3 linked regions of the Cricetulus griseus genome follow. The protein of the gene in region 1 interacts with the protein of each later gene in a biochemical or structural test. Links are inferred from orthologs where the notes say so. Each region holds a gene or a part of one and is shown in the gene's direction. Other genes may lie near its edges.

What was found.
Region 2: the proteins of Egfr (region 1) and Sh2d1a form a complex in vitro, tested with the Homo sapiens proteins (2 studies listed by BioGRID and IntAct, with this or other methods). The link is inferred for Cricetulus griseus from reciprocal best matches to the Homo sapiens genes EGFR and SH2D1A.
Region 3: of the proteins of Egfr (region 1) and glutathione S-transferase P 2, one has a biochemical effect on the other in vitro, tested with the Homo sapiens proteins (2 studies listed by BioGRID). The link is inferred for Cricetulus griseus from reciprocal best matches to the Homo sapiens genes EGFR and GSTP1.

Annotation. Positions count from the first base shown.
Region 1 is NW_023276807.1:89,400,534-89,404,184, reverse strand, and holds part of Egfr (epidermal growth factor receptor), read left to right. Parts: intron 1-1,306; coding exon 1,307-1,375; intron 1,376-2,166; coding exon 2,167-2,285; intron 2,286-3,292; coding exon 3,293-3,434; intron 3,435-3,651. UniProt on the Homo sapiens protein: Receptor tyrosine kinase binding ligands of the EGF family and activating several signaling cascades to convert extracellular cues into appropriate cellular responses.
Region 2 is NC_048604.1:25,494,430-25,498,080, reverse strand, and holds part of Sh2d1a (SH2 domain-containing protein 1A), read left to right. Parts: intron 1-3,485; coding exon 3,486-3,627; intron 3,628-3,651.
Region 3 is NC_048596.1:55,181,454-55,185,204, forward strand, and holds glutathione S-transferase P 2, read left to right. Parts: upstream 1-944; 5' UTR 945-997; coding exon 998-1,034; intron 1,035-1,146; coding exon 1,147-1,182; intron 1,183-1,318; exon of another isoform or gene 1,319-1,421; intron 1,422-1,559; coding exon 1,560-1,666; intron 1,667-1,776; coding exon 1,777-1,864; intron 1,865-2,752; coding exon 2,753-2,856; intron 2,857-2,961; coding exon 2,962-3,069; intron 3,070-3,201; coding exon 3,202-3,390; 3' UTR 3,391-3,452; downstream 3,453-3,751. UniProt on the Homo sapiens protein: Conjugation of reduced glutathione to a wide number of exogenous and endogenous hydrophobic electrophiles. Involved in the formation of glutathione conjugates of both prostaglandin A2 (PGA2) and prostaglandin J2 (PGJ2).

The DNA of each region.
Region 1 (3,651 bases):
CATACTAGAAGATAGGAAATCTGTCTCTGGTGTCTCCTATCTTCTCCTCTCCTCCACTGACCAGTGGTTTGCAAACACACAAGCCTTTTGAGAAGTTTGCATTCCATCTTTAACAATGACAAACACAGTATTATGAGGTGAATTTCACTGTAACATAGGTGAGATGTCTGAGATTCAGAAGAATGGCCCACTGTGACCAGTGTATATTATTGTTGATGAAGCTTAGAATTTGAGGCTATAAGAAAATAGCTTTACATGAAAGAAAATAAATAAATTCAGCAGTTACTCCATGGTTCAATATGAATTCCAAATATGTATTAAGCATATGTAATAAAATATTAATATACATTTAAGTACTAGAAAGGAAAGTAAGGATGAATGTTAAGTTGAAAAGCCAAATTTAAACACCACCAAATAAGCTTCCATGTGAAACAAAGTTACATTATATGATATCTGATTGCCCCAAAGAAGGTTTTAAAACTAGACAGAGTGGTCTTTAAAAGCCTAATGGAAATGTTAAGTATGCTGAACCACAAAAAGCAAAGGAAAGAAGGACAAATCTGTTCTGTAGAACTTTTCAACAAACTTGTTCGCTAACACTTTGATCTCCACATTTTTCAGTGTGATTAATTGCAGAACAGAACTCAAGATATTAAAAAAAATCTTTGTAGCTGCAATTTGATATGGGCCAAATACAAAAACACAAAAACTTATTAATTACAAAGATTTCCAGACAGTAGCGTGCCAACTATTAACTGAAGTTTTAGGTAATTGGCCAAGTGATTCACAGAATAAGAATGTTGACTTCCTGTGGCATTTTCTGTGCTACTCCATGACTTGGAGGAGAAGGGTGCTTTTACCAGCCATGATTTAACATCCCTAAACTCAGTGATGATTGCCTGCCCCACTCTACCCCCAAGTCAGTCAAGATTGGATATAGCAAGTTGAATGAATTTACGCAGAGTCAATCTGTCAAGAGAAACCAAAGCAGGTGGCAATTCTCGGACCCTGGACTCATTTAGATTTGTCATTTGTGTGCCTGTGACAAGTCAGTAGGTATTCTCTCTCTCAGTTTCCAAAGCTAAAGTGCAAACAAAAGCAGTCCATGGCTCACAGTTTTCCTTTCTTGCACGAGAGTCTTTTAGTTTACCCTACAAAGCATCCAAGCCAACTATGAATACGAAGTTTCCAAACTGTTCCTTGTTTCTAGAACATTCTCTAGGGCCTTGGGAGAGGCATCATTGGTTTCATGTCATTTGTTCACTTTTATTGAAGTATGCATTTAACTAATAGATTTTTATTTCAGGCCAAAAATGCGATCCGAGCTGTCCGAACGGAAGTTGCTGGGGAGGAGGAGAAGAGAACTGCCAGAAATGTAAGTCAGCACAGCTCTGGGGCCTGAGAAACATGCCCTTGTGAGTGGAGTCCACACAGTGTGTGGCCCACCTCTCCTACACTTTGGTAACAGGACGAGTACAGGAACTTGGCAATGGACCCAGTGTTAACTATTTCATGAGTGTTGGTCTTGCCAACCCAACTGCACACAGCCATCAAAGGCTAACTATTTGGGATACTTCAGACCATCATAAAATGCCTAAAAGCCAGCTACCCAAGTGCCTAAGTTATGTAGGATGCCCTGTTTCTGCTCCTACTCCCCCTTTCTTAGTACCAAGGGTTTCTCCAGGGAGCATATGTGTGAATCCTACTTTTTAAAAAGTTTAATTAACTCCAGCATGGTTGCTGGAGTTAATTAAAGAACCCAGGAATGTATCAGCCTCAAAACTGACCACAGTTCATTGCCTTTGTGACATAACTATCCATTCTTTTAAACACCATGTCCAGTCAGGTGCTCTTCTGGCTTGTGTGCTTTCTGTACCACCAAGAATTCTCTAGCTACTATCTACTCATTCAAAAGATCTGATCAGACAGACTTGCTTTAATCACGTCTCCTAAGTGATTTGAAATAAATGATAAGAGATATACTGAGGGGAAGGTTGTGATGATACTCAGTTTGGCTGAATGTGAATGCCTAAAAGCCTGTTCCACAGTCAGGAAATCCATCCATCTTCCCATCTGTTTCTTTCTACTGCATGCAAGTGTTCCTCCAGGCCCCTGGAAGATAAGCTGCCACCTAGATGCAGCTCATTGGTGATCTTTCTTTTTCAGTGACCAAAATCATCTGTGCCCAGCAATGTTCCCGGCGTTGCCGTGGCAGGTCCCCCAGTGACTGCTGCCACAACCAGTGTGCCGCTGGTTGTACAGGACCCCGAGAGAGTGACTGTCTGGTAAGACTGTAGGCACTGGGGAGGCAGGCCTCAGAGCTTTACACACTGACTGTGATGGGGCCTTCCTGTGGGGCACAGTGTAAATAAGTATTGTCTTGGCCAACAGCAGCAACAGCATTATGACAAATGTCTAGAGCTGCTTCTGTAAGACCCCTTGAGATGTGTCCAGTTACACAGACCTTGCACAGTATGACATTGGAATTGTCCCCTCCATTCCACTTTGCCCACCATCTTTCAATGCCTCTTGGCTGCTCCCCTACCCTATGCCATCCCATGGTGTCTTTTTTCCCCTGACACTACCGAAGCTCTGGTGAAAGAGCTTGTGAATGCACGGGCTAGTGAATGTGATTCCTGGGGTTAGCACAAAGCTGAGCAAGGCCCTGTTGGGCTCCAGAAGAGGAAGTCCATCCTAAGCTAGAGTCTAGAATATCGTATGGTTTCTGCAAACAGAAGATTCTTAAATCCCAAACCAGAGCTAGCCCCGGATGTTAACACTTGGACAGTCTGGGCTGGACCTAAGAGCAGCACAGGAGAATGACCGTCCATGTAGTTTTTAGTAAGAGCTAAGACCTTTGATCTCGCCCTTTCTGAATGGAAGCTTCCTGTTAAGATGCCAGCCCTTTGACGATAAATTCTAAAATGTCTTCCAAAGCACTCTTTATAAGAGAAACCCAGTATAAACTGGGTTTAAAAATGATGTCACACCATATTTACCTGGCCGTGGTTACCTTTCTTTGTCACCTGTAATCAATAGAGATGTATTTTTTCTAATCAAAAACCCTACGTTATAGCAACTGCAGCAGTCAGTATACTTAAAAATAGTACTTGTTACTTACAAGAGGGCAATGTTTCTGACTACCCTGAAAAGCTGACTGGATTCTTTTCCCTCTCACTGAACTCCTGAGCACTGAGAGCTGCCATTGGCCTGACCTGCAGGCTGCCTGGCCCTGTGCTTCTTTCATTTGGATGCAATATCTTGAGCAGGCATGTTGTCCCTCCTATGACAGGTCTGTCATAAGTTCCGGGATGAAGCCACATGCAAAGACACCTGCCCACCACTGATGCTGTACAACCCCACCACATATCAGATGGATGTCAACCCTGAGGGAAAGTACAGCTTTGGCGCCACCTGTGTGAAGAAATGCCCACGTGAGTTGTCCACTGTTGACTTTCCTGTCATCCATGTCCTCTTTTGTCTTATGCTGGAGTCTTGGGTAGTTTGGGGCCCCTTGTGCTTGCCTTGTTGTCAGGTAGGTTAGCACATGCCCAGCTAGATACAAAGGTGAGGACACAAGGACTCTGGACCAACAGCTAGGGAGCCTGCATGGGACTGACCTAGACCCTCTGTGGGTATGTGACTGTTGTA
Region 2 (3,651 bases), on another chromosome or scaffold:
ATATAAGGAAAAATCAGTACCATTTCTAATCAAAACTGTGTTTCTTAAAAAATCTGTCACTGCAAATAAATAAGCAATTTGATTTATTGTGAAGAAGAGTTGTATGTACCTGATATATGTAAATTTATGTATGGGTTGGTCACAAATAATCCTCTTCCCTCAAACAATACCCTTCAGCTGAGCAATACAAATATTTTTATGGAAAAAATCTTTGATATTTTTGCGATTTAAAAAATTAGTTCTTTGAGAATTTTGTATAATATGTTTTGATCTTATTTACCCTTGTCCTCCAAGATCTGTTCCTCTCTCCCAATCCAGGAAATTTTGTGTACTCTTTGTTTTGATAAATCTGTCTTCTCAATTTGTGCTGTCCAAATATTCTTGGATGTGTGGCCTTCCTCAGAAGCATGATTGATTTACCAGGGGCTATTCTTTTAAAGAAAGTTGGCTTTTCTTCTCCTGGTAGCTATCAATTGCCAGCAGCTCCTTGCCAGAAGTGGGAATTTGTACACACCTCCTCTCTTCATGCTTGGATTTGATCTGGCTTAGGTTGCACAGGTCTTGTGCGTGTTGACATAACCACTGTGAGTTCATATGTGAAGCTGTCCTGCTGTGTCTGGAATACATTGTTTCCTTGTAATTTTCCACTGCTTTATACTCTTTTCACTTCTCTTCCTCAATGATCCTTGAGCCTTGGGAGGAAGGGATGTGATATGGATTCTTAGACACATTTTATAATTCATTTTCTTCCATTTCGCATGTAACATCATAGCACATCATTACATATTTGTAAACATTTTCAGAGGAGGGTCTATTGAGCATAAATATTCCTTATCCTATTATCTGATTTGACCCTCCTTATATAATAATATTGTAATTATTTGCACCATGAGAGCAGAAGATTGTCTTGGGTTATCCCCAAATGGGAAATAGGTAAAAACATCTTTGTTTCATGAAATGCATATTGCATTTTTTCTGTCTACAAAATTTGCCTTCTTGTTAAGGTGAATATTAAAGTAGTGCACAATTCTCAGAGCTCAAATCACCTGGCTGGAAGAAAGTTCTCCAGAGTGTACTGAAGATCAGCTGTGATTCAAAACGTGTTTCCATGGATAATTAAGTGATGGCAGTATGGGAAATGCTCAAATTTGAACAAGAACTGAATTCACTGACAGGATAGTAGCCATGATGCTTTTTTGTGTGTGTGATAAATGTCTTTCCAAAATGTGGTAAGTGGCTTATGTACTACTTTCAGGAAAAGCATTTTAGTTTGACATACCATAAGAAAAGGTCATGTCAGGAACATTCTAGCCTCTGTCCTTAGGTAAGTTTAAGACATGTTTTAGAGATGTGATATTAAATTGAACTTTGAATCTATTGGATTATGAAAGAAAATATTCAGAAAATTTCATTTTAAGTAGAACATTACTGAGGACATTAACTTAGTTCCTGGAGGCTAAAGTTATGATGAATTGTTGATTATCATTTATTAAGTATAGATTGTCAGCAATTCATTGTCAAAAGTGTACTGTTCTCTCCCTCTCTGCCAATTTCTGTGCTTTTGGGCTTTTCTGGGTAGTTGGTCACCAGGAGATTCTTAGCTAGTAAGTGAATTACTTATTAGCCTAAGCAAAGCATCATAAATTAGGTCAGTCATTTGCTAAAGAAATGCTGCATCTCAAGTTCAAATTACTTCTCTATGTCCAGTGGTAATTGTCTTCTCTGTCAGCATTGATAATCAAGTGTTAACTATCAGTCTCCATAGAAATGATGCCTTTGTTGAAAATACATGTATAAGCCACAAGAAACAGCCTAAATGAAGTGTGGTTTCAAATGATTCCCCTCTGGGGAAATATGCAGTCTCTCTTCTGGCAGGTGACCTCAGCTTCACTCGAAACTACTTGGTCTAGTCTTAATCTGAAAGGAATGCAGAGACAATTCTGCTGCTTCTGATTTATGTGTGACCTCAACCTGCTTATTAATTTACTTCAATGCAAGATGATTAGGTTACATGTTTATATCTGTGAAATGAGAATAATTGGAAGAATCAATATCTTCCAATTCACGAGGAAATAGTGAACGCAAGAGATGGGAAAGTGTTTTGAAAAATCAAAAAATGCCCTAAGGAAGAAGTAAGGAGGTATTTTGTAGCCATTTGCACGCCTTTGTAATTTGCAGCCTCTGTCTTGAAGCCAAAGAGTTATTTGGGTCTCTGCGAGAATGGCCATGTTATTTTTAGATGAAGCCTCAGCAGAAAATTAGGTCTTCTGATCATAAGAATAGGGATGGGTAGGAGACCATTTTCTGTCCGTTGACACTGGATAGATGAACACTAAATTACAGCTAAAGAGAACATCTACCATGTGTTTATATTGGAAAACTCCCTACTCACTCCAAAGTAGGCAATGACCAAGAGTAACTTTGGATAGTCAGTTATCTCGAGTTTAAAGTCCAGTTGACAGAAGTCTGTGTGCCAGCCTCATATTTTCTCCTTAAATGCTAAAAACCAAGCAGTTCCCATCTCAAAAATCTTCCAGATGGAATAGCTGAAAAACAACTTTCTAAAAAAAAAAAAACTAGAAAGAAGCAAAACTAGTCATTGTTCAATTGCTCGTAGCAATACTATTTTATTTTCTGTAAAATGACAGTTTTGAGCGGGTGCCTAAAGCACAGCTCATAAGCTTTGTGGGGAATGTTGATTTCAGGCAGTGTCCTTGTGAGAGCACAGATGTCAAGGAAAGAATACATTCTTAACAGCCACCTGCAAATTTGATCTCTTTAAAAATGAACAAATACATAAATAAAGATAAACTTGTATAGTCTTTCATTTACATGTCATAGAGGAAACCTTGTCATGGTGCAGGGCTGACTATGCAAACAATTTGGGCAAAGAACACAAAATTAACATGAAGGATGATTCAGTATGTATTATGACGTAAAATAGTATATGCATCGGCCAGCCATGCAGTTGTGTGTATCGTAACAGTCACTTTTTAAATTTCCTGTGTAATATTTGATATTATAAAATGAGGATGGGGGACATGTTGTTGGTTGTTGTTTTGATTTCTCAGGCTTTTTTGTTAATGACCTGTAGGATCTATACATTTTTTTTATGTTTAACTTCATCCCCTCTGTTGCTGAATTCATTGTGGGTAATGGCCTGTACATCCTTAGAGGTTCAGGATGTATGACGGGTAGCAGTCAGGAAGGGCAGGGCTGTGAGAAAGAGCTTGTACAAACTAGTACTACCCTTGGGAGAACTGCAATGACAGCTCATTAGCTCCTCTTGCAAGGAAATTCAGCCAAGCAAAGTAAGCTCTTCTGGATGTTGTTTTCATTTCTTCCTTATGTTTTCAAATATTTGAGCAAGTTACACAAATGTTACCTCTCTGAGCATCCCTCTCACATGTTATAGGTCTTTTTCTTTCTTTTTTTTTTTAGCATCATGAGGCAAATGAATACTTTTTTCATCTTTTATTTTCCAGACAGCACCTGGGGTACACAAAAGATTTTTCCGGAAAATAAAGAATCTGATTTCAGCATTTCAGAAGCCAGATCAAGGCATTGTAATACCTCTGCAGTATCCAGTGGAGAAGTCCTCAGCTAGGAGTACGCAAGGTACCACAGGTGTGGACACCTGCTTAGTTTTCA
Region 3 (3,751 bases), on another chromosome or scaffold:
TATACACAAATGCTTACAACACAAATATACACACACCACACCTGCATATGCACACACACATATGCATGCACACAAAAAATTGTTTCAGCTTTAAGCAGACAGGGAGGGAGGGAGAGCAAAACCCCTTCCACCATTTGCTGTTCCAAGTTTGCCTCAGTTTTGCTTTTTTTTTTTTTTTTTTTTGCTTTATTACTATGGTATGAGTGTGTATACAAGCTACAGGGGCTGTAAGGATTAGAGGACAACTCTTGGGAGTCTGTTCTCTTGTTTTCACTGTGGATTCCAGGAGTTGAACTCAGGCCATCAGACTGGGTGGCATTTCACTGAGTTTTCTCACTGACTCTGATTTATTATCTTTCCAAAGATTTTATTTTATATTTACTTGTGTGTGTGTGTGTGTGTGTGTGTGTGTGTGTGTGTGTGTGTGTGTAGATTATGTGCATGTGTGTGCGGGTGACCTCAGAAGCCACAGGCGTTGGAGCTGTAGTTAGAGGTGGTTGAGTGCTGCGTGGCATGGGTGCTAGGATCTGAACCCTCTGTAAGAGCCGTATATGCTTAACCACTAAGCCAGCTCTCCAGCCCTCTAATTCGCTGAGAGCTGCGGGTCTCTACACACTGAGTGCTGGGATTAAAGGCGTGTGCCACCCTGCCTGGCAACCTTGCCTTCTTACAATGAACATTTATTGAGCATCTAAGTGCTGTTGGCTGGAGACCTTCGTGCCTGCAAGGTACTGTCCAGGCCCCTGAGGACACGAGGGACCGTGTGTTTTTGGCGTGTTAAGGCGCGAGGCTTAGCATGCGTGCCTCTTGCAAAGCCCCAGTATAGACAGTACTGCAGATGTACAGGTGGGTCTGGTGCTCTCTGCCCCACCTCCCCTAGCCTTTGCCTGGAGCCTAATGTGCTGAGCACGGTGACTTGGCATATTCCTGGGGCAGGGCTCGAGGTCTGAGGAGGCGGAGCTGCGCTGTAAATATAAGGCCCGAGTCACCTCCTCTCATGCTGCTGAAGTTGCACCGCACTGCATCGCCCAAAAGTAAGTAGGAGCTGGGCGGTGAGGACGGGGCCTGGGCAGAGTTGACACCCCACCCCCACCCCCGCCATGAGGTCTTTCTTCATCGTGCTTTCTGTGTGTTTATCTCTTCTAGTGCCGCCTTACACCATCGTCTACTTCCCCTCTCGAGGTGTGGCCTCAGCGCTTTCAAGATGAAGGGCACAAATTGTAGTCCTCAGGATCGCTCCTGTGGCTCCTGTGGAGCCGGAGGGGCGTGGCAAAGGCCGTGCTGGGGTGGGACCGAGACCTGGGGCGGGACTACAGTTGTGATTGGTGGGAACAGAACTGCCCTCTCGGGCACCTTAGGTGGAGGGACTTTGTTACTCTTCCTTTCCTGGGCCATTGTGGAGCTGTGTCCCGCTCTCCTAGGTATTGGTAGGGCGTGGCCTCTACTCCGTGTCTCCCCTCCCAACGTTTTAGTTTGGTCCTTTTGTAAGCTTTCCATTCTTCCAAACTCTCCCAGGTCTCTGTTCAGTTCCCCAATCTCTGTCCCGTACCCTAATACAGGGCGCTGCGAGGTTATGCGCATGCTGCTAGCCGACCAGGGCCAGAGCTGGAAGGAGGAGGTGGTGACCTTGGATGCCTGGGAGCAGGGTACACTCAAGGCTTCTTGTGTGAGTGACTACACTAAAGTGGGGATGGCACTGGGGCGCAGCCTTAGGGTCCTGTGACTAGGGTTGGGGGCAGCCCATTGAGCACCCCTTACAGAGCTGTCTTCTCCCAGCTGTTTGGGCAGCTCCCCAAGTTCCAGGATGGAGACATCACCCTGTACCAATCTAATGCCATCCTGCGGCACCTGGGCCGCTCCTTCGGTGAGTCCTGAAGTACAACCCTGAAAGACACCTGACAGATGTCCTGCAAAATGTCCTACAGCAACCAATCTCTCACCTGGATAGAGGGCAAGCAGGTTACCCTAGAGGCAGGCTGCAGGCTCAGGTTCCAAGAGGCTCCCAGGTGTGGTGCTGGTCTGTCTGTGCACAGTGGGGGCTGTGAATTTCCAGTAAACTTGCATTATTTGTTCTAAATGACATCTCATAAGGGGCCACCAGTTTCTATGTGTGACAATGGAACAGGACTAGAGACTTCCCAGTAGACCTCACTGCCCATTTCTTCCTAACCTGGCCATACCCCAGTCAGGGAAACCCATAGTCACAGTGACGAGGCCTCAGCCTGTTTGGATGATGTCAGGAAGGTGGCAGAGGCAACTATTCTCTGTGGGCCTGGTTGGGAAAGGGGTGCCCGGAGTTCCATAAAGACATAATAACCTGAGGATGGATGGGTAGTGGGAGCAGTTCAGGCCAACTCCTCTTTTACAGGACCTAGAGAGCAGACCACGGCCTTGGGCTGGGGCCTGTCATCTTCTCATCTGCCTTGTGCATCTCACAATGTATGTGGATAGCAGCCTTCACACCCCGGTCTGTCTAGGTCCCTAGACAGCTTGTTCCAAGGGAGGGACAAAACAGAGTTTTTGACTTCCTTTGGTGTGGCAGATCCAGTGACAGGTGTGGCCCAGAAAGCAGGCCCAGGCTTCAGTTGGCTGTGGCCCTGGGGGATGGTAGACTCTTCCCTTGTGAAGGTGGCATGGCTGAGGTAGGCAGGACAGGGAAGATCTTCAATGCAAAGTAGACCCAGGCTTTGGTGTGAGCGGGTATTTAGGGACTAGCACAGAACACGAGTATGCTGCCTGCTTCCTGACCCAGGGCTCTACGGCAAAGACCAGAAAGAGGCAGCGCTGGTGGACATGGTGAACGACGGGCTGGAAGACCTCATCAGGCACCTTGGCCAGCAGCTTCTCCGAAACTATGTATGTAGGGACTGCAGGCTTGTGCAAAGCAGGGTGGTCAGGAAACGGAACTCACTTTTGTCAGTCTGGCTGCACATTCTCACCTGGGGTCATTTCTGTCCACAGGAGGAGGGCAAGGTCCAGTATCTGAAGGAACTTCCAAGACACCTGAAGCCATTTGAAACTCTGCTGGCCCAGAACAAGGGTGGCCAGTCCTTCATTGTGGGTGACCAGGTGAGCACTGGGTCAGGCCCTTCCCACTCTACTCAGATCCTTTCTCAGATCTGAGGCCAAGTTCCCTGATGCAGAAATGGAGGCAGGAAGCATCCAGTGTTTGGCTCCATGGAGTTTCTCTCCTGCCCATAGATCTCCTTTGCGGACTACCGACTGCTAGACTTGCTTCTGAACCACGAGCGTCTGTTCCCTGGCTACTTGAATGACTTTCCCATGCTCTCAGCCTATGTGACACGCCTCAGAGCCCGACCCAAGCTCAAAGCCTTCCTGGATTCCCCTGAGCATGTGAACCGCCCCATTTCTGCTCGCCTAAAGATATGAGCCCACCTGCTTCGCCCAATCCCTCCCCCTCATGGATCAATAAAAACGAGGGCAGGAGCCGGGCTGGGCTGTGGTGGCATACGACAAACACCCCCTTAATCCCAACACTCAGGAGGCAGAGGCAGGCAGATCTCTGAATTCGGTGTTCTACAGAGGGAATTACAGGACATTCAGGGCTACACAGAGAAATTCTGTCTCGAAAAATTTAAAAAAAAGAAAGAAAGAAGGGGGGCTGGAGAGATGGCTTAGCGATTAAGATCACTGACTGTTCTTCCAGAGGTCCTGAGTTCAATTCCCAGCAACCACATCGTGGCTCTCAACCACCCTGAATGAGATCTGGTGCCCTCTGCTGGCATGCAGG